4 linked regions of the Diceros bicornis minor genome follow. Each later gene encodes a partner of the first gene's protein in a complex. Links are inferred from orthologs where the notes say so. Each region holds a gene or a part of one and is shown on either strand. Other genes may lie near its edges.

Region 1 (7,236 bases):
GGTTGTTCTCAGACTTAGCTCTATCCTTCCATGGTCAGGGCAGAAATAAGGTGGGGAGACCTCTGGAGAGCTGGAGAAGGTGGAGGCCTGGGACCTGGGCGCTAGAGCCCTGCAGCTCCTGGGACCACGTGGGCACAGGGGCCTGGCCTGAGGGTGCTCAGAGCCTGTCTCCTCTAGCTGGCCTGGCCCAGCCCTGTGGTCTGGGGGCTGGGCCCACCCTCAGGCCTTGGCTGGCGGTCTCCTCACCCCAGCAGCTGGATCCTGACAACACAGGCTTCATCGGTGCGGACACCTTCACTGGCCTGGTGCACAGCCATGAGCTGCCCCTGGACCCGGCCAAGCTGGACATGCTTGTGGCCCTGGCCCAGAGCAACGAGAGGGGTCAGGTCTGCTACCAGGAGTTGGTGGACCTGGTCAGTGTCACGGTGGGTGTGCAGCAGGGGCGGGGTCCCAGGCCTTGGCTGGCCAAGTGCTGTGCTGGAAGGCCGGGGTTGGGTGGGCAGGCGGCCCCTCCTCCCTGCCTCCCACTGGGGAGGGCTGTGGACGTTGGGCAGGGCCTCAGACCCTGTGAGGAGCTGGGCAGGCCACATGGGCAGGGCGGCTGTGGGTGTAGTACAGTGGCCCACGCTTAGGCCCCGCCCCCCAGATCAGCAGCAAGCGCTCAAGCAGCTTCAAGCACGCCATCACCAATGGACAGCGGGCACTGCCCCGGGACGGGCTGCTGGACGAGCCGGGCCTGGGTGTCTACAAGCGGTTTGTGCGCTACGTGGCCTATGAGATCCTGCCCCGAGAGGTGGACCGCCACTGGTACTTCTACCGGCATCGCAGTTGCCCACCCCCGGTGTTTATGGCCTCGGTCACCCTCGCCCAGGTGGGCCTGCCCACGTGCCACCTGGGAGCCACCCATGTCACTGGCTTGCCTAGCCCTAATACCCGTCTCCCCCAGATTGTCGTGTTCCTGTGCTACGGGGCCCGCCTCAACAAGTGGGTGCTGCAGACCTACCACCCCGAGTACATGAGGAGCCCCCTCGTGTACCACCCCGGCCACCGCGCCCGGGCCTGGCGCTTCCTCACCTACATGTTCATGCACGTCGGGTGAGTGAGGCCCCTCCAGTACCCCTGTGATTGAATCAGGAGGGCTCAGCCCCTTTAGATGAGGCTGTGGGCTGGAGGCCCGACAGCTGACCTCACTCCTCGCACCCGTTTGCCCCCACATGGCCAGGTTGGAGCAGCTGGGGTTCAACGCACTCCTGCAGCTGATGATCGGGGTGCCCCTGGAGATGGTGCACGGCCTGCTCCGCATCAGCCTGCTCTACCTGGCTGGCGTGCTGGCAGGTGAGCAGGCGTGTGTCCCCTGGCCACCTTGTTGGCAGGCCTCTCTCTCACGGCCCCCCTTTGTTCACATAGGCTCCCTGACCGTCTCCATCACTGACATGCGGGCCCCTGTGGTGGGGGGCTCCGGCGGGGTCTATGCCCTGTGCTCAGCACACCTGGCCAACGTCGTCATGGTAAGGGGGCAACCACGGGCAGGGTGTGGGGAGGGGCAAACGAGGCCTGCCTCATGGCCTTTCTGTCTCACACCCCACAGAACTGGGCTGGGATGAGGTGTCCGTACAAGCTGCTGAGGATGGTGCTGGCCCTGGTGTGCAGTGAGTAGGGGGCTGGGGGGACTGGGGGGACTGAGCCTATGGCCAGGGTGCCTCCCACCTGCTGCTTCCCTCTGCAGTGAGCTCCGAGGTGGGCCGGGCCGTGTGGCTGCGCTTCTCCCCGCCACTGCCTGCCTCGGGCCCGCAGCCCAGCTTCATGGCGCACCTGGCGGGCGCTGTGGTGGGAGTCAGCATGGGCCTGACCATCCTGCGCAGCTACGAGGAGCGCCTGCGAGACCAGTGCGGCTGGTGGGTGGTGCTGCTCGCCTATGGCACCTTCCTGCTCTTCGCCATTTTCTGGAACATCTTCGCCTACGACCTGCTAGGCGCCCACATCCCCCCACCGCCGTAACGGGCTTCTGGAGCTACACAGGCCAGGGCGAAGGTGTGTGTGGGCCAGCCACCAGGCGGGCCTGCACATCCGCCCTCCGTGAATGTACGTCTCAAGGCTGCTGCTTCTCCCCTGTGGGGCGGGTGGCCCCTGTGGCCCCAAGTCCAGGCTGAGCCTTACACCAGCCCTGGTGCCCCCTCCCAGGCCTGGGGGTGTAGGACTGTTGGGCTGGGCCTGGTGGTGGAGGTCCCCAAGGGTGGCCCCAGAGGAGACCCTGCCTCCCAGCCTCCCCACCCAGGATTTGCGGTCTGAGCCTTTTTGGAGAATGAATAAATATTTTACACAGCACCAGGTGGCTGTACCAGAGCTCTGGGGGCTGGTCTGGCCTCCCCCCACTTGCTGAGCAGACCGTGAGGGCCCTTCCCTCCATGCAGGCGGCCTGGGCTCCCCCTTGCTCCCTCCACCTGGTATGAGGTGTGTTTGTAGGAGGCAGGAGGTTCTGGGGCAGGGCTGAGGGTCTCACCGTCAGGGGAGAGCTCAGCAAGCATTTACTGAGTGCCTACAGCAGCTGGCTCCTGCTCTGCCAGCTGGCCAACCAGAGACCTGTGGCCTGAGGTTGCGCGGCAGGTGAGCAGGCCCTGGGCCACAGCCACGTTCAGTCAGCCTGGGTCCTGTGCTTCTTGGCTGGCCTAGTGCCCTCAGGGGTGGCTGGGCCAGGGCCGAGGTTGGGCAGCAGGTCGGGGCACAGCTTCTGCCTCACAACCCAGGTCCACAGTGCTGTCTCCACGTGGTGAGGGGTCCACACCCCTGAGGTGCTGCCTAGGGAGGAACAGGAGGAGTCTGGGGACCAGGGGCCCTGGCCTCCCTCCCCTGCTGGACAGCTTTGCACACTGCCCCTTCACTGGGTCCTGGACGTCCTCACCTCTGCTCAGGGCTGTGGCACACTCCCGCCCCCCACCCAGGTACAACATGTAGTGCTTGGAGAGTGTACTGCAGAGCTAGCAGGCCAAGCACTGCGGCCACTGCCTCGTCGGAAATGAATGCTGCCTCCTCGGGGACTCCAGCAGCAAGGACCGCTGTGGATAGGAAGGGCCAGCACTCAGCCTCTGCCACTCTTGGGACAATCTTGGCGTGGGGCTGCCATTCCCAGTGACTGCTGGTGTCATGGACATGACCATCTGTCCTTTTTACAGACAAGGGCGCTACCAGGCCAGGTCCCGCCCGCGACCCTGCTGGGGCGCCCAGCTCTCCCAACTAACCCGAGGCGGTGGCGGGGCCCACGCCGCGGAGGGTGCACAATTCTGTGACAATTCCCTGACCGCTGCCTGCAGGTCCGGCAGCAGGCGGAAGGCGGTGGCCGAGCGCTGCAACACCAGCTCGGGGGCATTGGAGGTCACGAGGCGCGGCCGGAAGCGGCCTCTCTGGGGCCAGGCCAGATTGTGGGTCACGGGTGGTGGTCCTCGCCAGGGACCCCCACCCCCGCCGCGCCCCGGCCCGCGAGGCTCCGCACCACGCCATGAGGACCTGCTGCCACAAGGGAGCCGCGCCCCACGCCGCGGGGACTCGGCCCCCGAGGAAGCCGCGCCCACGCCGCGAGGACCCGCCTCCCGGAGAAGGCCACGCCCACACAGCGAGGACCCGCCTCCTGGGGGAAGCCACGCCCCATACCGCGGGGACCGCCCCCAGGAGGAGCCCAAATCCCGCGCCGCGAGGACGCGCCCATAGGAGGAGGACACGCCCCGCCGAGACCCCGCCCCCCACGTGAGAAGCCCCTCACCACCAGCTTCCACGCTAGCAGCCACTTTAGGTCATCTAGTGTCACGTGCTTCTCTGCGCGGTCCTGGATGGCTGCGGGCAACTCCACTCGATACCTGGGGAAGGACGGTGACGGGGAGTTCGGGCAGCGGGAGTCGCCCGCCCTACCGACCCCTCCCACCGGCCTACCATCGATCCAGGGCTTCCAGCCGCCCCTGGGAGTCCGGGTGGGCCCGCAGCACCTCCCCGTGGCGCGCCAGGATGGCGGTCCAGAGATTCGAGTCCTCACAGCCCCACAACCCGCGGGCGGCTGCCATGTTCGGGCGCCGGGCCGGGGCCTGGGAGAGTCGGGGGCGGGGCCTCGGAGAGTTGGGGGCGGGATCAGGGAGAGTCGGGGCGAGCTTCTGGAAGAACAACCCCTAAACGCGCGTGGCTGAGAGCATCTAGGGCCGCCCTCGACGATCACGCAGACTTCCGACGCCGCGGGTTGCGTCTCCGGGGACGCACTCTGCCGGCCTGCCCCGCCCCCGCAGTGTGTCGGGCGCACGCGCGGCCCCGCCCACCCGCGCGTGTCTGTCCGGCCTGCGGGCCCCGCCCCACGCGGCCGGAAATTCCGGTGGCGGATCGGTGGACCCGGCCCGAGCGCATCGCGGGCTCGGGCTGCGGGCGGGCGGCCGGGCCGGGCGCGGAGCCTGGGAGCGGAGCCCAGGCCGTGCCGCGCGGCGCCATGAAGGGCAAGGAGGAGAAGGAGGGCGGCGCGCGGCTGGGCGCCGGCGGCGGGAGCCCCGAGAAGAGCCCGAGTGCGCAGGAGCTCAAGGAGCAGGGCAACCGGCTCTTCGTGGGCCGCAAGTACCCGGAGGCGGCGGCCTGCTACGGTCGCGCCATCGTGAGTGTGCCCGCGCCGGGGGAGGGGCCGGCGTCCGGGCGGAGAGGGGCGGGGCCGCGGCTTCGGCTCCGAGTCCTCCCGCAAGCCCCTGCCCGGCCGCCCCCGCCGCTCCTTCGGAGGATTTTGGCTCTTCCGGAGGGCGTTTGGGCTTTGAGGACTCAGTGATGATCTTGTTCCAAAGGGGCCAAGGCCGCGGCTCTCCAGCCGGTGCTGGTTGCCGGAGAACTGTGGCGGGTGGGAGCTTCAGGGTGCTTGATGCCCGTCGGGCGGGGGGCCAGGGATCCTTGCCCCTTGAGGACCGCAGGCCGAAAGCTGGGATCTCCCTAAGTCTGGGAAACTTGCGGTTACAAAACCTATTGGAGTCAAGAGGGTGGGCTCAGATAGGCTTCGGGGCCAGCACTCCATCTCCACCAACTCTCAGGACCCAGGGACTTTGAGGCTGAGAAATCTCTAGTGTCTTGATTCCAGCTATGGGCCACAAACTGGGATAGAGGGGGCAGGCTGAGCTCACACCCTCATGCTGGCTGGCCCTGCCTTGGTCCCCAGACCCGGAATCCCCTGGTGGCGGTGTATTACACCAACCGGGCACTCTGCTACCTGAAGATGCAGCAGCACGAGCAGGCCCTGGCCGACTGCCGGCGCGCCCTGGAGCTGGACGGGCAGTCTGTGAAGGCGCACTTCTTCTTGGGGCAGTGCCAGCTGGAGATGGAGAGCTATGATGAGGCCATTGCTAATCTGCAGCGAGGTGGGCCTACAGGCTTGGCTGGTTATGGGGGTGCCTGAGAACAGGGGGGTGGACTGGCCAGAGGGTGACATGAGGCCCCCATTCCCCAGCCTACAACTTGGCCAAAGAGCAGCGGCTCAACTTTGGAGACGACATCCCCAGTGCCCTGCGCATCGCCAAGAAGAAGCGCTGGAACAGCATTGAGGAAAGGCGCATCAACCAGGAGAGCGAGCTGCACTCCTACCTCACGCGGCTCATCACAGCTGAGCGTGAGAGGTAGGCTGTGGTGGTGGCAGGCTCCAGGGCACCCTCCCCAAGTCACCACTCTGAGATCAACTCTGAGTCACAAACACAAGTATTTATTGAAGGCCAACACTGGCAAGCAGGAGACAGGAGATGAGGTCTGAATAAGCCCGAGGTTGGCATGCACTCTGACCTCTCCTGGCCAGACCCATCTCTGACCAGCTCCTTGGTCGACTTCCAGGGAGCTGGAAGAGTGTCAGCGGAGCCACAGGGGTGATGAAGACGATGGTCATCTCCGGACCCAGCAGGCCTGCATCGAGGCCAAGCACGTGAGGGTGCCCTGGCCCACGTGTGGGTCTGTGTGTGCATGCATGCAATGTGAGGGTGCTGCTGGTTCCTGTTAGGTGTGTGTCTGCGCCTGGGGAAGGGAAATGGAGTGTTTACCCCACGCGTAGCTGCTCGCTTCTTCACAGGACAAGTTCTTGGCAGACATGGATGAGCTCTTCTCCCAGGTGGACGAGAAGAGAAAGGTGTGCTGTCTGTTTCCTGGGGCCTGTGGGTAGCCGGAATCAGAGCAGTGTCCCCTTCCTGCTCCCTGACCTGACCTGTGTGTTGCAGAAACGAGACATCCCCGACTACCTTTGTGGCAAAATCAGCTTTGAGCTGATGCGGGAACCCTGCATCACACCCAGCGGCATCACTTACGACCGCAAGGACATCGAGGAGCACCTGCAGGTGAGGGAGGACCAGCGGGTGTTGGGGGCAGGGCCTGGATCCACTGACCACCTTCTGACCCTGTTGTCACTACAGCGCGTGGGCCACTTTGACCCTGTGACCCGGAGCCCCCTGACCCAGGAGCAGCTCATCCCTAACCTGGCCATGAAAGAGGTCATCGATGCATTCATCTCCGAGAACGGCTGGGTGGAGGACTACTGAGGCAGGGCCAGTGCAAGGGCCACTCGCCCCGCTTTGCCCGGTAACCTGGCCCTGGAGGGCCTTGGGGCAGTAGCCCTGGCCCCTGTACAGAGTTCATGTCCCTGAATTCTTGCCCCAGTGTCCCCATGCCACTCTCCGTCAGTTCTGATGCTGGGCCATCAGCCTCCCCTGTCCCCTTTCTGGGCTGGAAACAGCAGGTGAGGGTGGGCTGGGCTGGGCTGGGCTGGGCTGAGGCTGCCGCTGCCACCACTGTCCCTGTAATAAAATATGTGAGCACTATAGGGGCACGTGCTGGTGCGCGATGGGCCCACTGGCTAGCTGAGGAAGGTAGAGATGAAGACACTGGTATCAAGGTTGAGTGTGGCATGCCACCATCGGTCAGGGAAATACAGCACCTGGTGGGGATAGGAGGGGGAACATAGGAGTCAGGTGGGGGCCCTCAGCCCAATACAGCCTGGCCCCCTTCTGCCAGCCACTGACCTCACCAGCTTGGATGGTGCACTCCAGGGGCCGCGCAGATGGTGCCAGGGCTGGGTATGTGTCCCGGAACCAGGCTAGCGTGGTCTTGTTGGGGTGGAACTCTGGTGTCTTCTCAGGGGGATACAGGAACCAGCGCTAAAGGCAGGAACAGCAAGGTCACTGTCCACGTTGTCAGTGAGCCCCAAGCCTCAGCTCCGACCCTGTGCTGACCTTGCGGCCGTAGATCACCTCCGAG
Region 2 (7,550 bases), on another chromosome or scaffold:
GGCGGCCTCCAGGATCCCAAGTGTCAGTGTGTTCCTCGTGTCATTTTTCTACTGAAAACATCTGGAAGGGCTGGAAGAATGTTCCAGAGAAGGAGGACCAGTGAGAAGTGAAGGGAGAGGGGCTGGCGACCGCCTGGGGTCAGTTATCGTCCGTGGGGTCAATCTGGGTTTGGAGAGCCGGCGCTCTGGCAGGGCATACAGTAGGGGCCGGGGGCACAGCTCGCTGGGCAGCAAAGATCTGACCCCGTGCCTTTACTTGTCCACATAAAATGGGGTTAACAGTATACTACTGCCTCACAGGGTTGTCATGAGGGTTAAGAGAGGTAAGGCATTTAGCAGAGCTGGCGCATAGTAGGTCTCAAATCATAGTGGGGCGCATCACTGTTTTGTCGTTTCTGTTGTTATTCATAGAATCAGGCTGTCATTAGGAACGCAGAGTCTGGAGTCAGATTGCCTGGATTTGAACATCAGCTCTGCCTCTTAGTAGCTGTGTGACCTTGAGCAAGTTATTTAACCTCTCTGTGCCTCAATATTGTCATCTGTGAATGGAGAGAATAATACCTATCTTAGAGCAATTTAGGTGAGGATTAAATAAGTCAATATATACAAAACACAACCGGTACAAAATGATAAATCTTTGCTATTTTTATTGTTATTATGATTATCATAATTATTTATAGAGGTGGTCAGGGGCTGTGAGCCCTGGAGAGAATTTTGGAGACAATATTAGGAGGAAGATAGAGCTCAATAAATAAGGTTACCTACCTGCACAGGATGGTGAGGACATCGACTTATTTAGGGAGGGACCCTGTGGGTTGTTTATTTTATTTATTAATCATCTGTTTTTGTACGGGTGTGTGGCAGAGAAAAGAGCACTGGGCCTGAAGTTCAGACACACCTGGGTTCAGAACACACATTGGGGAAGTCACATCATACCTTAAGCCTCAGTTTCCTCCTCTGCAAAATGGGGATGGTGATGGGCCGAACCTCCGGGGAGCCTGTTGTGAAGATTAAACGTAAACATGTTGGGGAAGCACTTAGCTGGGTGCCCAGCACCTTCTAAGTACCCTGGCAATCTTAGTGAATATTCTAACGCTGTGACCGTGTGCAGAATCTGTCACGTGTGAGTGAGCAGTTCAGACACAGGGTTGCTGACACAACATCATCCACTCGGCCAAGATCTGCTGAGCTCCTGTAACGCACCAGGCACCCTTCTAGGCATAGGGGCTGCTGCTGTGAACAAAACACACAAGGGTCCTGCCGTCACGGAGAGAATGTGCTGGAACTCCATTAGAGTCATCCATAGAGGGTCTGAGAACAGGAAGGGAAAAAGACCTGAGCACGCTCACCTCCTACTTGCTGGAGGATGCGCCGGGCTCTGGGGTGTCCAAGAGAGGGAACTCTGAGACAGGTCTTCCTGGACCTGGAGCCTGAGTGAATGGGGGAGGCCACCAGGATCTGCCCCCATGCCGGAACAAGACTTCCAAACCCCTATAATTGTAGATAAAACATTAGTCAAAAATAACGTCCAGAGAGCCACACCTTCGAGGGATTCAAGGAGCCCCTCCCTTCAGCCCTCACAGACCCTACCCCTCTAGAGTTAGGGAAGGGCCTGCAGGTGAAGGGCTGTGAGGCTGGGGAGGAGGGAGCTTGGGGTCTTGCTGCAGTGGAAAGAAAAAGCACGGAATTGGGCAACTGACAAACCTGTGTCTTTGCCCTGGCACTACCTGTGTGACTTTAGGCTGCTGCTTATCCCCGCTCAGCCCCCGTTTCTGGGATGCGGGGTGATGTCACCCTCCCTCTGGGCTGTCTGTTTGAGGACTAATAATTAATCGTGTACTTGCCGAGTGAAAGCTCCAAGAGAATGGCAGCCAAGGAAACCCTTGTTCTGGGACCTGGGATTTAACGTCCCCCTCCTCCTGCCCCTCACATACACCCTACCAGGGTCTTTCCTTCCCTAAGAGAGCCAGCCTGGAGGAGGCTCCTTCCCTTCCCTGGCCTCTCCCAGGCCTGGCCCCATGTTTTCACCTGGCCGATGAGAGCCATGGGGTTTATCGACCACTTTCCACGTGTGTGTTAGCTGACTCCTCCCCGGGTGGCTGGGTCAGCAGGGCTAGCAGCTGCCTCCCTCCTCAGCTTTCCAAATCAGAAGGCTGGCCTGACCCAGAAACAGTGGGACAGCAGGTGTGTGGGAGGATCACTGGACACAGCCTGGGCTACACAGTCCTATTCTGGTTATTACCCTGGGCTCCCAAGTCCCGCTGGCTTGGGTTCGAATCCTCAGCCAGCTGTGTGGCCCGGGGCAGGTGGCTTCACCTCTCTGAACCATGAGGATTCAATGCCGTCATGAATAACAATGCTGAGCACAGGACCTGGTATACAGTCAGCGCTCAATAAATGTGAGCCATGACTATGATTATAAGAGGCAGTGCAGCAGAGGGATCAAGTGCCAAACTGCCTGGGTTCGAATCCCAGCTCTGCCACTTAACCAGGTATGTAGACATGGGCACGTCATGTCATCTCTCTGTGCCTCAGTTTCCTCATCTGTAAAATGGGAATAATAAAATTTCCTTCCTTGTAGGGTAGCAGGGAGGACTAGATGAGTTAACATACGTAAATTTAAAGTGCTTAGAGAAGAGCCTGGCACATGGAAAGTGCCAGAATCAGCTAATGCTTGCTATTTCTGTTTTCAAGCTGCACACCTCCCTTCCTTCCTACAGGCCTCAATGCAAGCATCCTTGAAATGAGAAGGTGATGAGGTCATGGAGCTTGTGTCACCCGCTTCCTCCTCAGGCTCTGTGGGGTGGAGGGGAAGCCAGGAGAGGAAGGAGAAGGAGGGTCTTCTAGAACACATCCACCAGCCGACTCACCCATAAGTAAACACAGCTCCATCCACACATAAACACACTCACCGCTCCACCCACTCCAATCAAAACAAACTCACTCCGGGCCAAGCCACCTCCAGCCCAGCCCACCCACTCAGAAGCCTCACCCCACCCCAGCCCAGGTCCCAGGCGGGGCTGGCTTTCTCCTCTGTGTCACCCTGTCATTCTCATCCTGGCTCCAAACCCAGCCGGCCCCGCCCCAGCTGTAATTACAGAGAGAGCTGAGGCTTCTGTGCCCAGCGTGACGTCAGCCTGAAGCTTCTAGCCTGATGATCTCACCCCGAGTCAGTGGGGGGTGGGGGGCGCCTCAGTCTCCCTCTCTCGGCTGGAGGGGGAGGGAGGCGGGGGTCTCTGTCAGTCAGCTCAGCATGGATCTGAGATTCAGAACAACCCAGGTTCCCACCCGGCCCTGCCACCCCAGAGCTGCACGCACCGGCCAGTGCTCTGAGCCTCTGTCTCCTCACCTGCAAAATGGGGGTGGTGATAAGTCTCTCCTCATTGATGTGAGGGTTTAATGCCATAATGTCGTGCTCACCTGCCACCGCAGTGATAGGTACATAGGAGGCAGTACCAGATGGTGACTTGCTTTCCATACTATTATTTTTAGAAAACTTTCTCATGGAGGCGCTGCTTAACTTCAAAACGATTTCTCAACCAATGACTCACTGAATTCCTTAACACCCCAGCCCACCCCACCCCCCGAGGAAGCAGGGCTGAGACCCTGAAGCCCACAGAGGGATACCGGCATGCCCCGAACGGCCCACCTGTTGGGGACAGATCAAAGATTGGAACCCCAGCTCAAGGGACCTTTAAGTCAAAGGATGATTTATAGATTCATTCTCCAAGCCACGTGGGAGGGGCGGGGGAGTCTAGAAAACAGGTCCTCTCTGGGCTTGGAGTTTCAGGCCAGACACCATGCCTGGGTACAGCACGTTTTGATAATTATCATTATTTACAGTCATAATAATAATAGAAGCTGGTGCTCGTTGTCACTTCCTGTTCCATCATCCCCATCTGTAAAACGGAGATAATAGTAGTAAGTTTACCTCTTGAGATTGTTGTTGAGGATGAGCTAATATTTGTAAAGCATTTAGAACAGGGCCTGACATACAGCAAACACTATGTAACTGAGAACTCAAAATTGAAAATATAACGGTGTCAGTCTGCTAAAGGCTTTGCTAAATTGCCTCATGTCTTCCTCAGCACACACCCCTGAGGAGGCTACTCTGATGTCCATTTTGCAGGCGGGGAAACTGGGAGCTCATAGATGCGTGGGGAATAATGTTACTCTCCTCTGAGGACACTGAGGTGAGCTCTGAGAGCTTGTAAGTGGGGATTGCAATCCAGAGCCATCTGCCTCCAAACGCACGGGGCTCTGTCTCTCTCCTCCCCATCTGCAGGTCCCCAGGGGGGAGGCAGGATGCAGGCCGGCTGTGGGGAAGGTATTTCCAGAGGGTGACCTGAGCCCTCAGCCGGACGAGGGTTATTAATAGGGCCCTGCCCGGGGAGGGCGGGCTCCGGGGGACGAGGGAGGGCGGGGCTGAGCCGAGCGTGGGGAGGAGAGAGTCCGAGAGGCTGGCTGAACTTGGACGCAGACGCCCCTCCCAGCCCCCCGGGAGCCCAGCTGTTCCCTCAGCGGATTCTCTGGGGCTGCTTCATCACCTCTGAATACTCCTGTGACAGGAGGCACTTGCAAAACCCGCCTCCAGTCCCTAGCCGCAATAAATAGAAGGCTCCCAGCCCAGGAGGAGCGAGAAGCTTCTAGGCCTGCCTCCCTGGGTTTATTAAGCTCCTGGCTCCACTTGAGACCTCAGCGGCTCTGGCTGCCAGCCTGTGCGGCCTGGAAGGACAGAGACCGGCTGCTCTCTGGTGAGGCAGCACGGAGAGGGGCCCTCTGGGATTCTGCTGGACCAGCTGGGGGTGGCCTCTGGTGGCTGGAGTGTCTTTGGGGCGTGGGAGCCCAGCCTGGTGTGTGCCTCCGTCCCTGGCAGTGGATGGTTCAGCGTTTTCTAAAGCTGAAGAATAAGCTTGGAAGGCCAGCCCACCCACATCACCTTGCTGTGTGACCTTGGGCAGGTGGCTCCCTCTCTCTGAGCCTCCGTGTCCCCTCCAGCTCAGCAGCCACCATGGCTGATGGTCAGATGCCCTTCCCCTACACAGGCCGCCTGCGCCGAGACCCCTTCCGAGACTCGCCCCTGTCCTCCCGCCTGCTGGACGATGGCTTTGGCATGGACCCCTTCCACGACAATTTGACTGCCTCTTGGCACGACTGGGCCCTGCCTCCATTCTCCTCGGCCTGGCCGGGGACCCTGAGGTCGGGCATGGTGCCCCGGGGGCCCACTGCCACAGCCAGGTTTGGGGTACCCTCCGAGGGCAGGAGCCCCCCACCCTTCCCTGGGGAGCCCTGGAAAGTGTGTGTCAACGTGCACAGCTTCAAGCCAGAGGAGCTGATGGTGAAGACCAAGGATGGCTATGTGGAGGTGTCTGGTGAGTAGGGGGCAGAGGAAAAGGAGAGAGAACCCGGGGAGGGAGGTGTAGACTTCAGCCCTGGGAACAGCAAGGAGGACACTCGTATGGGGAAGCTGTGACAGCATGACACAGGTGACTTCAGGGCTCAGGAATGTGGCCACAAAAGTTATCTTTATAGAAAAGCTCTCCTCTCCCGGCTTCCAGCAGAAACCTTAACCTGACCCAGCTGCTGGGGCCTTTGGGTGCTGTGTCAATCAAAATCCAGGCAGGAAAATGTAAACCACATCGGAGATTTTGACAGAGAGAATCTAATCTAAAGAATAAGTTAAACAGAGAAGGAATAAAAGACAAGGAAGAAATGGGGTTCATTGCACCCCAGCATCACAGCAGTCTAGAAGGCGTGTTTCATGCTGAGCGATGATAATGTTCATACCCAGCACAGCTTTCAAGAGAAACGCCTCCCCTTGTCCCAGAGGGAAACTGAGGCATAATAGTCGTTATAACAATACTAAGTGGTAACCTTGATTGAGTGCTTACCACCACGCAAGGCGCCTTACCTGTAGCATCTTGGTTAATACAACCAGAGGTGGATCCTGTATGTCTCCTCTTTTTTACAGATGAGGAAACCGAGGCACAGAGACGTTAAAGTAACTTGCCCAAGGCCTCCAAGCATTCAAACCCAGGCTGTCTAGGAATCAGGAGGCCGGAAGCAAATTGATCACATACTGAGCACCTAGACTAGGTGCCAAAGGCTGGACTAAAACTCGTATTCCTTGTCCCGAATAATCCAGCAGAGGTGTCTAGTCCCATTTTGCAGCTGAGGAGGCTGAGGTTCAGGTGGACCCGTCCAAGGTCACGCCATGAGTCAGCAGCAGGAATTTTCTGGGCCTACCCAGGACACCAGGCCCAGGGCTGCTGCCACCACTTCCCAGCCCCGGGGAGGAAATGCTCTGGAAAAAGAAAAGAGGAGACAGAGGCTCGGTGCCTGGTAAGCAGGGCAGCAGAGGAAGAGCTTTCTCTCCCTTCCCTCCCGATTAACGCTCCATTAGGAAGAGCATGTTCCTGGCAGGCTCCGCCAGCCAGAAGATCAAGGCCATTGCAGACACAGGCTGGGCAGGGACAAGCCCCGGCAGGCAGGCAGCGTTGGGGGAAGTTTCAAAGCCTCGCAGGGCAGAATTATAAACATCAGAGGCTCCCGAGGAGGTGAGCCAGGAGGCACGCTGGGGCCACGTGCAGAGGGAGGAGGTCAGCCAGGGCTCCCCGAGCCAGGCAGGAGTTCTCAAACTGGCCCCACCACGAACCAGCAGGCTGTGCAAATTACGTAACTTCTCTGTGCTTTGTTTCCTTATCTGAAAATCGGGTTCAAGTAGCGACGCCGCGTAAGGATTGTTGTGTTAAATGACGTGATGCGTGTAAAGTGTGTACGTAGTGCCTGGAACACAAGGGATCAGTACTGTTATTGTGGTTGATGTTGTTGTTGTTAAAATGCCAGGCACATAGTAAAGACCCAATAAATCATAAATGGTAGATGCTGTTTGAGACCTGGGTTCAAATCCCGGCACCGCTGTTCCCTCTCCGGATGGATACACAGAAAGTCTTTTCACAGCTCCCAGCCTCAGATTCCTCATCTGCATAATGGGGATCATAATAATAACTCTCCTGCAAAGCTGTAAGGAAGATTAAATATATGCAGACAGTATATGGTAATAAATGCAGAGTGTCTGTAAAATGGAGCTAATAATAGGGCCTGCCTGGCACTCTGTAAACAAGGTGATTATTATCACCATCCTCCCATCTTTGTTTTAATTAGGGTTCCAGAATCTTCCACTCTGGGTTGGAGGATTGCCCATCCTCCAGGTTGGAGAGCCCTGTGGCCCCTCCAGGAGACCTCTGTCCAGCCTGGAGGGTTTTTCTCCATCCTCCTTTCTAAGTGCTTCTTAAAGTAGGGTCTGGCAGCTCCAGGCTGAGATCCCAGCTAAGTACCTTAGGAATCTGGAGGCTGTGAGTGAGTCTCAGAGCCTCAGTTTCCACATCTGTAAAGTGGGGTCATTGGGGGCTTAAATAAAAGACAGACAAAGCCTTTTTTGGTTGTAAAATCCTCACAGGTGTGCACTTAGCAACCTCAGCTTGACAGAATCCAAATCCCCTGAGAGTACATACAGAGACTGTCGTAAAAGAGGTTTAAAAAATCAGATC
Region 3 (6,975 bases), on another chromosome or scaffold:
TTACTGATTGACAGCATCTCTTCCTGAAGGTAATGATGCTCTGAGGGTCCTCTTGGCTTGGCTCCTCCAAAACCACCCTTTGTTTTAAGCCAGGGCCCTTTCCTCATTATACATTAAGAAACCAGTTTCTAATATAAAGTAATACTCAAGGATTTTCCATTGTATTTAGTCTGGAGTGAGGTGTAATCCATATAAGTGAAAGTGAATTAGTCACCCACATGTTCTGTATCAAAGCACAGGTTGCAAGCAATGAAGCACAAAGAGCTAATGAACTGAATGTTTTCTCCTTATGTTTTGGTGCCATGCTGACAAATCTCAAGTAGTTAATTTGGTAAAGAGAACTCTTTTTCTTGAGTTGATCATAACCAGCCACCATCCAAGTAATCACAGCATAGAAGTCAGCCACCCAATACTTGGTGGTCTGGAGGACACAAAAAATAATCAAGTATTCCAGCCCACATGCTTCACAGTTTCATAAAAATTCAAGACACTTCTACCTTCTTCTGAACAGATACACTGCCTCTTATTAGGACTTCCTGGTGTAGTTCTCCCTCTGCTTTTAGTACTAGCTGAGTGACCTCTGGAAACACATTTGAACTCACTGGGTTTCTTTCTCAGTAAAATAAAGAGGCTGAACTAAAAGATCTTTAAGGACCTTTCAACTTTAAAATTCTGACTGTTCGATTTTCAAATCAACTTTTCCAGCGTCAGACTTCTGGTTTAGTAGTCTTATTTTCTACTTGTTAAGAACAATACTAGTAACTCAACCTGTCTTTCCCTCCTTAGGGTTAATGAAACCACAGCCTCACCCATCCACCGGATGGGTACCGGAAGATCTCAACTTGCTGGGGAGTTTCACACTGAAAACAAAGTACTGGAAATCTGGGTCTGGTACTGCACTCACAGTGGATACGTTCAAACCATCTTCTGAATGCAAAACCAAGGATGCCAGCAAATTCTGACTGTTCCTGTCTCTATAGAAAGGATCCCTCCAAAGAATAGTTTTTTACCACACTAAAGATCTACATCCATGCAGATGAGAGTACCAGGGCAGGTTTGAAATGAGCATTAGTTTCACCCAATAATGGGCTGACCAGACACACAAAAAAGAAGGTATAATCACGCCCCGCCCAGCTAATTACAGCCTCTTGTACTAATTTTCAGAAATAAATATACAATTAATTTCTTATAAATGTAAGTTGCTGAATATATGATGTCTCACTGTTGGACATCAGTGTTAACAGTATTTTTAAGAAAAAAGCACATAAAAATGAAGGTGGATAATACGTATCTTTCTTCTAAAATAACGACAAACAGCATTTTTAATTTTGTGAATTTTTAAATCTTCAAAATAACTTACCAGCTCTTTACAGCTTTTATTTTTATTTCGCCCAGGCAGCATAACATTACTCTTTCTTTAAGTATATTTCTTCCTGCCAAGCTTTTTATTTTGAAAAAGCTGAAATTTATGGTAAATTACAAGAGTAGTACAATTAGTTATAATTTTTTAAATTAACACTCATTCCAAATTTATATTCTCAAATTTTCATCCTCCTAAGGATTAAAAAATACATATCCTTGCATATACGTAAATGAGGCATACTTCCGCTGTATTCACAAAGGTATTACTACTCAGTTACTGGTGTATTAGAAACAAATCCTAGGTATTCTCATACCATAACAAGGAAGGGAATGCATGCCATTAAAAAAAAAAACTCATTCTCTTTCTCGCCAGTGTGAGGCAATGTCGTAAGGCAATGGCCAACTATGAGACAGTCTCACGTATTTAGTTTAGAAACTGCCTGGGAAACAGCATCTTGTTTTTAACAAATCATACTAGAATATATTCTTATTGAAAACAGTTTCGAACAATAATACAATTTTAATTTCAAACACAGAAAAGGGGGAAAAAAAAGGCAATGTATTTACATCACTCTCCTGAGTCACTCTGCTCCTCAGACTGGAGAGCCAAGTCAAGATACCCCTCAACCAAGTGGAGGAAGTTTAGGACGTGAAATTCCTAAGGGCCCACCACCCGGGCTTGCGAATGGGCCCCTGGCGGCCGCCGAAGCGCGATCAGCAGAGTGAACCCGGGATCTCAGGCCGGCGAGCCGGGCGGCGGCGGAGGCCGCGGCGGGGCCTGGCCCGGGCCTTCGGCGCTGCCCGAGGCCGCCCGCCCCTCCCGGCCCCTCGAATCGAGCTGGTGGACCGGACCTGGCGCCACCGCGCGGGTCGCACTTCCCGGGCCGACCCCCGGAAACCAAATGCGGCCCAGGGAGGACAGTGCCCTCCGGGGCCTCCCCCTCGCCCCGACGCCGGCCAAGGGCGGGCCCGGAAAGGGGGCTGGTAAGGGCGCAGCGGGCCGACTCCCCGGGAGCTGGTGTCCGCGCGTCCCAGGCGGCCCTCACTGCCCTCCGGGGCCCGGGCGCGGGCGCCTCGCGTCCCCGCAGCCCGGCCCGGTCCCTCGCCCTCGCCGTCGAGGGGGCCGCCGGCGGGGCGCGGCGCGGGCCTGGCTCACCTTGGGGCCCTCGGGGGGCACGCGCGGGTCGTTCCACGTCGTGGTGCGGCTGTTGTGGTCCACGAAGAAGGGCCAGCCGGTCTGCGGGTCGATCTTGATCTCCCAGCCGGGGGGCAGGGGGTCGCGGTCGCCAGCGCCGTTGCCGGACGCCATCTGCACCATGGGTGAGTGGGTGGCAGCGCTCATGCTGGGTCGGGGTCGGCCCGGAGGGGCGGCCGCCGCGGCGCCGGGTCGCGGGGTGCGGGGTGCTGGGTCGCGGGGTGCCGGGTCTCCAGGCGCCGAGTGGCTCCCTGGCTGCGGCCGGAGCGAGAGCCGTGCGCGCCGCCGACGTGTCCGGGAAGCCGGCGCCGGGCACCTTTATGAATTAAAGGAGGGGGTGACGTGGCCCGAGAGGGGTGGAAGTGTCTGGAAATAGCCTCCTCGCTGCCAAAGGGGAAGGAGGAGATAAAGGGAGGTAGCAACTGGCCGGCTAGAAACTTCTGGTCCCATCCAGAGAAGTTGGCGGCGGCGCGGACTGGATGCGGAGCTCCGCCCTGAGTCATTGGCTATAATCGGCGCGGGGCGGGGCGGGGGCGGGGCCTCAGCTCTGCCGCCCCTCCCCCACGCTTTCCCCTCCTCCCCCGCCCAGCTGCGGGGGTGGCTGTCCCCGGGCGGGGGTGGCCCCGGGCTGGGTGGCCCCTGCGGCAGGCCGGCGGGACGAGCGAGCCCCGGGCCGTCGTCTGTGTGTCCTGGGCCGGTTTCGGTTTTCAGATTCGCTCCCTCTTCTTGGAGCCGCGTGGCTGTTCCCGGACCCCGGAGTCCGCGCGCGGGGTCTCTGCTGCTGCTGCTGCTGCTTATGAAAACAAAGTCATCCATCGTTCGCCTTTAAAGTCGTTGGTTTTAAACTAGAGTCTGGCCCACCCACCCCCTTTGCTCCTTCGTATACTGATACTCGGGGACACAGGCGTCCCTCAGTTACGTTTTAATCACTTTTTTTTCACGGGCTCAAGGGCCGTCCAGAAGGAGGTCTGGAATGTTGATCTGACACCATAACCAAGCCAGGGAGAAAATGGAAGTGCCAATGGAAACTCACCTGCTGCCTTTTGAAACCTAAGGGAGAAAGATTGCATCAGCTCAGGCTTTATGCTCCTGAACCTCATATCTCAAATATAGAAACTGTTATGGCAGTGGATGACTTTAAAGAAAAATCACATCCTGTGGGGTTTTGATCTTGTTTATGGTAGAGGTTGGTTCTTGCTATCTGAAATCTTGACTTTCATTTGGGAAGTGGGGACCAAATTGAATCATGAAATTTTTTTGTTTGGTGGATTCAATGGTGGTTGCACTTGTAACCTCAAGAGAGCATCCCAATTCCTCTGGGAGAGAGAGAAGGTACCCCAAAGGGAGAACGTTTGGGAGGTTCTATTTTAGATCCTTAGGCATGCAGACTCATTCCCTTCCCCAGAAACATTTGAGATGTTGCCTTGGACTAATATGGGGTCCAATTTTCCAACTCAAATTCAGAGAATACCCTGGCACCCTCAGTAGCACCTTTGGTCTCTTCCTGCCCTCAAATTACTCCTTTTGGAGCAAACGCTAGAGAGGCCTGCTGATTGTTTCCGATGGAATGATTCCCACTTACGTAGGTCTGTGTGTCAGCTTTGAAGTCCAAAAATTCAGTTTTGTAGAAACACAGAGGTGATTAAGCCCCAGGGACTGACTCAGGTCACCAGATACACAGGAGACTGATGTATAAACCCAAAGGCCAGTGCATTCTTTTACCATAAGAAATATTGCTTTTGAAGGAGCTGGACCCTCAAGTTCATTGGTCAGTATCTATCTTATTCTTCCCTATTTCTGAAGCCCTGAGCACAGGACTGGGCCCAGAGTTCATATTCAATAAATACTGATGTTTGTTGAAGATTGAATCCAAAGTGAATTTTTATTTCTCTCTTCTTCCTTAGCTCAATTAGCTTTCCACTACAATTAGAGTTTAAACACGGAGAGCATTCTTTGCTGGCTTTTTTTTTTTTTTTGCTAGACAGAAGCAGGTTCCTCTGGGATTAACAGAGCTGCTTCTCACAGCTGTATTCCACCAAGGGCTTCAAATGGTTTTGTCTAAAATGGAGCCATAAGTCTTAGAGAGCTGGCCAGAAGTTCCTTTGAGCTCTGCTGAGTAACAGGGAGCATGTCTGTCATTGGTGGCTTTTTTTGCCTCTAGGTCTTAAAACACTAGTTCCCCTGGTGCTATGGACTGAATGTTTGTGTCCCTCCAAAATTCATTTGTTGAAACGTGTTCCCCAATATGATGCTATGAGGAGGTGGGGCCTTTGGGCAGTGACTGGGGCATGAGGGTGAATCCCTCGTGAATGGGAGGGATATAAGTGCCCATATAAAAAAGACCCCAGAGAGCTCCCTCACCTCTTCTGCCGTGTGAAGACACAGTGAGATGGCCATCTATGAACCAGGACACAGGGCCCCCCCTAGACGCCAAATCCGCTATTGCCTTGATCCTGGACTTCCTAGCCTCCAGAACTATGAGAAATAAATTTCTTTTGTTTGTAAGCCACACAGTCTATGGTATTCTCTTATAGCAGCCCGAAGCCACTAAGACACCAGGCCTTCTGGAGTTCATTTGCCCAGATCAAAAGCTTAAACACGACCCTGGAATCCCCTTTCTCTCTTACCATCCAGTCATCACCAGTTCTGTAGATTCCACCTCCTCAATATTCCGTGACTCTGTGCAGTCTTCTCTTTCTTCAGTGTCACCAACCTGATCCAGGTCACCCTTATCTCTCATCTGGACCCTGGCAACGGCCTCTAGTCTTTTCCATGTCCAATCCATTGCCCACGTAGCAGCCAGAGCGACCTTTTTCAAGCACAAATGGACCATGTCCTTTCTCTGGTTAGAATGCTTTAATGGCTCCCATTGCCCTCTCTGTATCCAAGTCCACGCTCCTCGGCCTGATGTACACAAGACCCTCCTCCCTCTCCCTGGTGCACACTCTGTCGTGGCCCTGCTGAGCTCTAGCAGGCACACACTGCACTTTCTCAACTGCACACACTGCTTCCTCCACCTTCTCCCCCACCCCCAATGCCTCCCACTCCCTATGTCCAGCTGAGTCCTCTTCATCTCCAGGTATCACCTTTGGCATCACTCTCCTTCACCCTCCTAATCGGGGTCATGTGTCCCTTCTAGATGCTCCCATACAAATCCTGTGCCACCCTATCAAGAGCACTGCATTGCAATTGCTTGTTTGATGGGCTGATTTGCTTATGGATTGAGTTTCTTGAGGGCAGGAGCAGAATCTTGATCGCCACTGTGTCCCCAGCCTCTGGCACAGTGCCTGGTAAATAACAGTTATAAAAACAATAACAATTTTTGTGTGTGTGTGTGTGAGGAAGATCAGCCCTGAGCTAACATCCATGCCCATCCTCCTCTTTTTTTGCTGAGGAAGACTGGCCCTGGGCTAACATCTGTGCCCATCTTCCTCCACTTTATATGGGACGCCGCCACAGCATGGCCTGACAAGTGGTGTATTGGTGCGCGCCAGGGATCCGAACTGCGGCCGCCAGCAGCAGAGCGTGTGCACTTAACCGCTACGCCACGGGGCCGGCCCGAAACAACAACAATTATAATGGCTACCATTTATAAGCATTTACTACATGCCAGGTTCTGTGTTGTGGGCTTTATGTGGATTATCTCATTTAATCTTTGTGGCGGAGGCTGTGATTCCCTTTGGAATGAAGGATTTATTCCGCCAGCTGCTGGGAATACTCAGGAATACCAATCTCAGCTGTCCTTTCTGATTGGCTCAGCTGAAGGAAACTGCCCTGCCCAGGGTTGCACATCCTTCCTGGGGCAGCCTGCATCCAGTGGCTGATCTACTGAGGGGCGTGAGGGCCCGGCCCTTTTGGTCCAACTCAGTATCCGGCTCCTGTGGTCTCCCAGTTCCACAGCACCATCTGGGGTTGGCTGCTGCTTTCTATGGAACTGCAACCCCTCTCAACTCCCTCTGCCCGTTCCTGCTTCCTGCTCTCCCCTTACTGGTGTTACTCTTGAGAGAATTCCCTCATAAAATCCTGCTTGCTAACTTCTGTTTCACAGTCTGCTTCCTGAGCAACCAAATCTGGAGCAATCCTCTCAACAGCCTTATGGGTAGGTATTATGTTTCCCCCTTTACAGGTGAACCAGTTAAGGTTTAGAGATGCTAAGTAATTGCTCAGTATCACAAAGCTCATGCTTTGTAGGGGTGGGATCTGAATTTAGGCAATTGATTCTAGAGCCCATGCTATTAACCAGGCACTCAATAAATATAATAAGTGAATCAATGGCTTAGTCCCTTTAGTCTCCAAGGAAAAAATTTGAAAAGCTACAATTCAGAAGCAAAGCTTTGTGCACATAATTTTTCTCAATGCCAAGGAAACAGGGCAGCAGTGGGCTGCTGTGGAAGATCACAACTCAGCCCTGCCAATGA
Region 4 (7,602 bases), on another chromosome or scaffold:
GTACCCCATGCTCTCTGATTTGCCAGCCCTAGGTCACATGCCCACTCTTGGAATTGGGGATGTGGTCAGCTTAACCCAATCATATGTACTGATAGTGGGAGAGATATGACTTACCACAAGGAAGGAGGGGATATGTACTGTTTTCAGAGGAAGTAGGGGATACATGCTGGGTAGGTTGATCTACTGGACTCACCCATTTGGAGATTTTAAAATGCACCTGCCTGGCTTCACATCCTCAGTGTATCTCCTTTACTTTTAGGATGAACTTCAGATTCCTTACCAAGACCTTCATGTTTCTACCAACCTCTTTGCCCCCATCCCAGTTGGGCTCTGCCTTCTTTGCTGTGGTCCAGCCACACCGGCTCTAGTTTGTATCTGATTTGGGTTGTGCTCTTTTCTGCCTCAGGGTCTTTAAACATTACTATAGACTGAATGTTTGTGTTCTCCTAAAATTCATATGTTGAAATCTTAACCCCCAATGTGATGGTATTAGGAGATGGGGTGTTTAATAGATGATTGGGTCATGAGGGCAGAGAAATAAATTTCTGTTGTTTATAAGCCACCTAGTCTATGGCACTCTGTTATAGCGGCCCAAACTAAGGCAAACATGCTGTTTCTGCTGCCTAGAACTTTCTCCTCTCTTCTATTTCCCCACCCTCATACTTTTGCTTAGCTCAACTTAAATGTCATTTCTCCAGAGAAGAATTCTTGATTTCTCAGAGTGAGTTAGATCTGTTAACTGATCTCATGGTCTCCCCTGTTCTTTTTATTTATTTATTTATTTAAATTTTACTTATTTATTTATTTTTCCCCCAAAGCCCCAGTAGGTAGTTGTATGTCATAGCTGCACATCCTTCTAATTACTGTATGTGGGACGCGGCCTTAGCCGGAGAAGCGGTGCGTCAGTGCACGCCCGGAATGCGAACCCCGGGCCACCAGCAGCGGAGCGCGAGCGCTCAACCGCTAAGCCACGGGGCCGGCCCATGGTCTCCCCTGCTCTTGTCCACAGGACTGATCACAATTCTAACAGTTACTGATTTTTATAATTATCTGTCAGCCCTCCCCAATGGACTTTATGCGCCATTAAGTCACGGACTGTGTTTTGTTTACTACCTTATTGCTAAACCCTAGTTCCTGGCACAGAGTATGGCACATGGGAATAATTTGATGCATATTTGTTTAACGAATGAATGAGTAAACAAATCAGGGTTTAAATGCTGTCTTAGTCAGCTTGGGCTGCCATAATGAAATACCATAGACTGAGTAATTCAACAACAGAAATTTATTTCTCACAGTTCTGGAGACTGGAAGTTCCAGATCAAAGTGCTGACTGGTTTGGTTCCTGGTGAGGGCCAGCTTCCTGGCTTGCAGGCGGCAGTCTTCTTTCTGCCTCACACCTTTCTGGGGGCGGGTGGTAGGGAAAGCAAGCTCTCTGGTCTCCTGTTATCAAGGCACTAATCTCATCCTGAGGACTCTATCCTCCTGACCTCATCTAAACCTAATTACATCCCAAAGGCCTTATCTCCAAATACCATCACATTGTGAGTTAGGGCTTCCACATATGAATTTTGGGGGGACACAATTCAGTCCATAGCACGTGCATTACCTCATTTGATCCTTGATAACCCCTTGACATAGGTTCCACTTCAGGATGAAGAAAAGGAAGCTTAGCAAGTTGAATCTGTCCAAGGCCACTCAGCTAGGTAGTGACAGAACTTGAAATTTTCAAACCTAGGAATATTTGCCTTAAAATGCAACTAAAGATTTTTTTGCCTCGTGAGGCCCCTGAGGCATTATCCTGTTTGGTTTTGAGCCATTTGGTCTGAAGGTAAATGTGCAAGTGTGTGAAGCAGGAACACAAAGGGGAACTGAGATGGAGAGGAGTCCGTACAGCAGATAGCAGGAGAGCACCTGGACACTGAGGGAAAAGATACTGAGAAGGGGCTTCATCCTCAGGAAGAGACCAGGGAAGTAGTCTGACAGGAAATTGGACCCTGAAGGGTTTGGAGTGAAGTTTGGGATTATGATGTCAACGATCATCAGGGAAAGATTTGACTCATCTTCCTTCACCCTCTCGGCCTTGTTCCCAAGTCCCACACCCTTTTGCTGGCTCTGACAGGTTTTCCAGAGCAAGAAAAAGAAGAGCAAAATAGGAAGGGCAAAAACAAGGCAGCCCCTACCTTCCACTGAGGCAGTGGGAGTTACAAAGTTCTCTCTGTTGAATAGGTCTTAGAATAAGAACATTTCTCCCACACAGAACCAGTGTTAAGATAAGGGTGAGGCTCTCACAGTCCTGGGAAGTCTAATTAACTCATGATGATCTGGAAATAGCACTAGAAACAATATATCTCAATTCAGATAACATTTATTGAGCTCTTTCTCTGGAGCAGGAACTGTGGAAAGTGCTAGAGATTTAAGGAGCTGTGTGTGACTTCCTCTGCCCTTAGGAAGATGTCAGCTATGTGATGATTTAGGTACTTTGGGGCACCAGCCCCTTATCTTGGTGACTGCTTCTACAGAAAGGTGAATTCTCAGTCACAGCACACAGGGTGTTGGCCATGCCCGGAACACACTGACCTCCCTTCCCCTTGTTCCCTTTTCTCATCCTCCCATTTGCAGCCACGCCTTCAGAGTGAAGCCTCTGGCCGCCTGGTTCCTGCCAAGAAGGAAATTCAGGAGCTTGGCCTACCCAGTGCGCTGGAGTTGAAGCCCTGAATTTGACTATTAAATAGCCATTTGGCCATGAGAAAGTCATAGCATCCCTGAAACTAAGGAACAAATTACATCCTCCTTGGTTACTTCACAGGGTTCTTGGGGAATATTAAATGAAATGTTATGTATGTACTTCATAAACAGTAAAGTGTTACATAATGCAAAAAATTGTGCTGATCCTCATAGAGTTGATTAGCTGGAGGGGGCCTTAGAGATCCCCTATCGCCATCCCATATTTACTGCATGCCAGGCCTTCTTCTAAGCACTTCACATCTATTAATCCTTTAATCTCAGAGCAGCCCAGTGGGGTAGATACTATTATGATCTCATTTTACACATGAGGAACAGAGAGGTTAAGTGACTTGGCCAGGGTCACACAGTAAGTGGCAGAGCTGAGATTCAAAGGCAGGCAGTTAGGCTCCAGAGCCCATTGTTAACCACCAAACCAAGCCACCTTCTGTGTGCTTCCTTAGCACCCTCTGTATACTCCCTCTGGGAGCACTTGACAGAATTACAATTGCTTGCCTTAGTGATAAAAAAGCTACTAGAAGGCAGGGATTGTATCTCATTCACACATACATACACATACACACCCCCCCCCACACCCTTGCACAGTGCCTGCCACACAGTTAGAGCTCAGTAAATATTTGTTGAATGAATAAATGTCCTCTGGAGAGATATACAGCAAGTCTGATACATCTACTGTGTTTTTCCTTCATCTTTTTCTTGGCTAACTATGCTCATTTCCCTCAACCATTTTCAATAGGAGATTGGCATTTCTCATTGTCCTCATTGTCCTGCATTGCACTTTCTCAACTTCAACAATGACCCAGCTAAAGTCAACTGCCAGGATGTAAACACTGTACTCGGAGAATAGTCTGACCAGCGGTGGGGCCTCTATGACTATCCTTTTCTGCCCTCACAGTGTATGCTCAATATTCAGGACTCTCTCAGGAGCCCACTCTTACCCCTGAACTATTTGAATGCCTGGACAGGTTCTTGACTATGAAACCAAGTACCCAAGGTGACCCTTAGGACTTTACTAGTGGTCTAGGCAGGTAAGGGGAATTCCTTCAACTCTTGCCGCCGCCCACGCCACAGCCCTCCCGTTCCCTTTCGTGGGAGGAGCTGTAAGAAAGCGAAAGAGATTCCTTAAGGTCTTAACGGAAGAAAACAGGTTATGGTCGATGAGAGAGTTGGGGCAGGAAACTGCATCTTCTAATGTGGAATCGAGAGAATTTGTCAATTTTGTTTCACGGTATGAATACAATTGAGTTTTCTTGTAAGAAAAAAGAAATCAGCGTCATTGGCCTCATATATTGGACTATATTTAATGAGATGATGGGACAAGATGTTTGAATTTGGACGTTTTGAAAAGTCCTGTATTATAGTGGACAAAAGTATCTGCGGTTTGCCTGTTGGGCTCCTCCAACTGGGAAAGTACAGACTCTCGTTCTCATCACAGACTGAAAAAACTGACGAAAAGCGAGATTCGGTTATTAGATAAACTGGCAATCACACGCACCATGAATTCTCCATTCCACCCAGGGTTTTTATTTTTAGTTGTTTGTTTTGGTTCGAGATTACTTTCGGGAACTAAGTGCCCCACCGGACAGTCCGAGCTCTGTTTTTGAGTCGGGGTCAACGCCTCCGGCCCGCAGAGCCACTCCCTTTGCGGGTAGGCGACCCATTTGCGGGAGGGCGGGGCCCGGCCGGCGGGAGCGCGCGCCCAAGGCGTCGTCGGGGGTGGGAGCGGAGGAAGGCAGGCGGCCTGGGAGCGCGCGAGGCCTCGCGTGCGCGCTCCCGCCCGCCAACCCGCGCGCCCACGCGCCCGCCTGCACTCCCGGGAAGTCTCGCGATGCCGTAGGCGGCTGCTCCCGCTGCGGGTAGCCCTGGCTGTTGCTGTGGTTGCCTGAGTTGCTGCTGCGGCGGCGACGGCGGCGGCGGTGGAGCTGGTGGAGGTGTCGGCCCTTGGGCGGATGTTGACATTGTGTTGTTGTTATTGCTGACGGTAATGGCGGCGGCGACGGCGACGGCCGGGACCCCATCTCCTCTGTAGCCTGAGCCGAGACGGCCAAGAGCGAACTCCGCGGCCTCCGAGCCCGCGGCAGCGACTCCCCTCAGCCTCCGCCGCCTCGCCAGCCCGAATCCCGGCCCCGGCTCCTGGAGGCAGGCCCCTTCGGGCAGGGGGCCTCGGAGGCTCAGGATGGCGGATTTCGACGAGATCTATGAGGAGGAGGAGGACGAGGAGCGGGCCCTGGAGGAGCAGCTGCTCAAGTACTCCCCGGACCCGGTGGTGGTCCGCGGCTCCGGTCACGTCACCGTGTAAGGCCCGGAGGAGGGCGAGGGCGAGGACGGGAGGTGCGGGGCTGGGGTGGGCCCCCTTACTCCTCGGGAGCCCTCTTCCCCGGTGTCTGCCTTGTGTCGGGGGCCTTCGGGAAGAGGAGGCGACCAGGAAGTGAGAACTTGCAGTATTTTTGTTTGTTTAGGTCTCCGAAGTGGAGACAGACGCTGCCCTTCCTCCCCTACACACCCCTCTTAGCAGGCCCTACAGGCCTGGGATGGTGACGGATCCCAGAAGAGAAGGTTTTTCTCTGGAGTCTGCCCTTCGGGCCACCCCTTCAGCTTCGGGGTGAAAGTACACGTAATGAGGTGCCTCCCCCTTGTGTTCTCATCCAGTTGCCCTGTGGTTCTCTCGTCTCGTCTGTGCCTTTGAGCCTGGTGACATATGGCTCAGAGGCCAGATCTGGGCCGTTAGAGACCCCAGTGACAATCGGTCATGGCTGGTTCATTGCCGTTCTGTCTGTTTCACACATACCCACAGGTCTTCCCAGTTTCCTGCAGAGTCAATTTCTGCGGAACTAATGCAAGTTCCTGTAATTGTGTATGATAAAAATGTGTAGATGAACATGTATTTAAGATATGCAGAACGATATATATTTTTAAAAAAATCTAGGTGATGGACACCCTCTGCTTGGGTTACTGGGGGTTGGGTTCTCTGTAATCTAAGTCCCTCCTTTGGGCATGAACTCTGGCATGGCTTCTTCATTTGATAAGGGTTCCTGTAAGTCCACTTAGCAACCTTTAAAAGTCGATATTATCCAAATAGGGAATGATAGCTTTCCGAAAGGTTATGACTAATAAAGGAATGTGAAGACTTGAACCAAATAATGAGCTGTCCGGAAGTAGGAAGTTTTGTAATGTTTCTCCGAGAAGTCGAGTTTTGTACAACTTGAAGTATTTATACTCTTTTTCATTTTAGAGCTCTTGTTCAAATCAAAGGGTCAAACCTCCATGCTTGTCAGATATCTCCACACTTCACCTTTTGGTTAAAATAAAAGGGCCAGCAAGTCTGAGACTGTTTGGAACAGTTTTCATTATATTTTTGGTATAGGGCGAGTGGGATGTGCGGTGAATAACTTTTAGTGAAACAGTAAGACTTCTCATATGAGATCCTATGTAAGATTGTCAGCAAAATTCTTGCATTGCCCAGTACATGATATGACCAGCCATATTGTTGTTTGGGTATCCTTATGTAATGCTTTGATTTTCTTAGCATCTGTTAGTTTATATTCAGGTGACTTAGGGTAAAAACACTGCATAATCACTGTCATAGTGCCATGAGAAGACAATGGAATTTATCACCACAATAACAGTTACTTAGTGTTTTAACTGTCATCACCAGCAGAATTAAGAAATATAACCAAATATCATGGATATTAAATCTTTCTTTAATATATATCACAGAACTTTTTTACTCTCATAGCCTGCCATTTAATTTTTAGTTTGGCGCTTAGGACGTTTTTACATTCTTTTAAACCTAAGGAGTATATGGGTGCTTAAAGAAGGGATTTTCAAAGTTTTTCATGTTATCTGCCCACCTTTCCCCCTACATTCCTCGTGTCAAAGAAAGCTGGCGAAGTTTTATTGTTTAGAAAGGTGCAGCTGTAGTTGTAATGTTTCCTCTGTTGAAGGAAAAGAAAAGCTAAGCGCTGTTGGGTAGATGGAAAATGTCGTAGGCGAAGTGCTCAGAACCAAATAGGTGATCAGTAAATTTGATTGTAGTTGGCTACTCAGAGAGGTTAACAGGATGGGTGAGAATTACAGGTTCTCAATCTTAGCTTCCTGTTAGAATCACCTGGGGAGCTTTAAAAAAAAACCAAAAAACAAAAACCCTGTCTTTGCCCCAGGCCAGGACAATTGAAGGCCAAGTATCTGAGTGAGTGTCCCTGGCATGGATGGTTTTTTAAAAAGTCCGACAAGTGATTCTGATGTGTAGCCAGGAGTGAAAACCACTATTCCAGAGTATAACGAGGAATGAGGAACTAGATGCTATCAGTAAACAGTATGCCTTTTTACATTGGGAGTTAATATTTCTGTGATCTCCTCAGCCACTTCCCTGTCTTCCATGTTACCTTGGTTCTAGGCTCTGGGTTCAAATCTATCCTCTGCCACTTTTTGGGTAAATTATCTATGTCTCTTTCAGTTAAGATGAAGATAGTATAGCACCTAACTTTTAAGGTTATTAAGGATTAAATGAGACAATACATTGCAAAGAATTCATCACATTGTGTGGTACTGTGTTCAATAAATATTAGCCTTTATTACTTTATTAATTATCCTCCACACCTGTAGTGTTCCACTTTGAGAAACATACATGTAAAGCAAAGTACTAAGAAATCTGAACTGCTGTATTCAAACCTAACAGTGATTCACTTTGGTCTTATTTTTTCATTTCTAAGCAATTTATATGAGGTTAAATTACTATGTGAAGTATTTTGGTGAGAATTAATAAGAATCTTTCTGCATTGAAAGCCTAAGCCTGTTTTGTGATGACATAGATAAGTATAGTAATCGTAATGTAAAACTTGACATGACTCGGTCATGCAT

What was found.
Region 2: STUB1 (region 1) and HSPB8 share a complex: the UniProt entries of both Homo sapiens proteins name them as parts of the chaperone-assisted selective autophagy (CASA) complex. The link is inferred for Diceros bicornis minor from reciprocal best matches to the Homo sapiens genes STUB1 and HSPB8.
Region 3: STUB1 (region 1) and BAG3 share a complex: the UniProt entries of both Homo sapiens proteins name them as parts of the chaperone-assisted selective autophagy (CASA) complex. The link is inferred for Diceros bicornis minor from reciprocal best matches to the Homo sapiens genes STUB1 and BAG3.
Region 4: the proteins of STUB1 (region 1) and CHIC2 are in contact, whole or in part, in a crystal structure (PDB 8SUV), measured with the Homo sapiens proteins. The link is inferred for Diceros bicornis minor from reciprocal best matches to the Homo sapiens genes STUB1 and CHIC2. Residues at the interface, in NP_005852.2 of Homo sapiens: Lys30, Asn34, Phe37, Tyr49, Val61, Asn65, Leu68, Leu71, Val94, Lys95, Phe98, Phe99, Gln102, Arg128, Asn130, Phe131, Gly132, Asp134, Ile135; in NP_036242.1 of Homo sapiens: Leu156, Pro157, Lys158, Thr159, Pro160, Ile161, Phe162, Arg163, Pro164, Asp165.

Annotation. Positions count from the first base shown.
Region 1 is NC_080765.1:47,639,439-47,646,674, reverse strand, and holds STUB1 (E3 ubiquitin-protein ligase CHIP), read left to right. Parts: upstream 1-4,391; 5' UTR 4,392-4,459; coding exon 4,460-4,618; intron 4,619-5,164; coding exon 5,165-5,363; intron 5,364-5,452; coding exon 5,453-5,618; intron 5,619-5,826; coding exon 5,827-5,914; intron 5,915-6,058; coding exon 6,059-6,115; intron 6,116-6,203; coding exon 6,204-6,521; 3' UTR 6,522-6,717; downstream 6,718-7,236. Other genes in the region: RHBDL1 (rhomboid-related protein 1), read left to right, coding at 252-425, 647-1,095, 1,223-1,508, 1,589-1,649, 1,727-1,998; uncharacterized protein LOC131422050, read right to left, coding at 2,633-2,796, 2,900-2,975, 3,297-3,398, 3,455-3,848, 3,922-4,049; JMJD8 (jmjC domain-containing protein 8), read right to left, coding at 6,836-6,916, 7,002-7,136, 7,212-7,236. UniProt on the Homo sapiens protein: E3 ubiquitin-protein ligase which targets misfolded chaperone substrates towards proteasomal degradation.
Region 2 is NC_080774.1:15,958,448-15,965,997, forward strand, and holds the start of HSPB8 (heat shock protein beta-8), read left to right. Parts: upstream 1-4,537; 5' UTR 4,538-5,011; coding exon 5,012-5,372; intron 5,373-7,550. UniProt on the Homo sapiens protein: Involved in the chaperone-assisted selective autophagy (CASA), a crucial process for protein quality control, particularly in mechanical strained cells and tissues such as muscle. Displays temperature-dependent chaperone activity.
Region 3 is NC_080745.1:82,420,015-82,426,989, reverse strand, and holds the start of BAG3 (BAG family molecular chaperone regulator 3), read right to left. Parts: upstream 3,011-6,975; 5' UTR 2,705-3,010; coding exon 2,519-2,704; intron 1-2,518. UniProt on the Homo sapiens protein: Co-chaperone and adapter protein that connects different classes of molecular chaperones including heat shock proteins 70 (HSP70s), e.g. HSPA1A/HSP70 or HSPA8/HSC70, and small heat shock proteins (sHSPs), e.g. HSPB8.
Region 4 is NC_080747.1:42,073,626-42,081,227, reverse strand, and holds the start of CHIC2 (cysteine-rich hydrophobic domain-containing protein 2), read left to right. Parts: upstream 1-4,602; 5' UTR 4,603-4,918; coding exon 4,919-5,037; intron 5,038-7,602.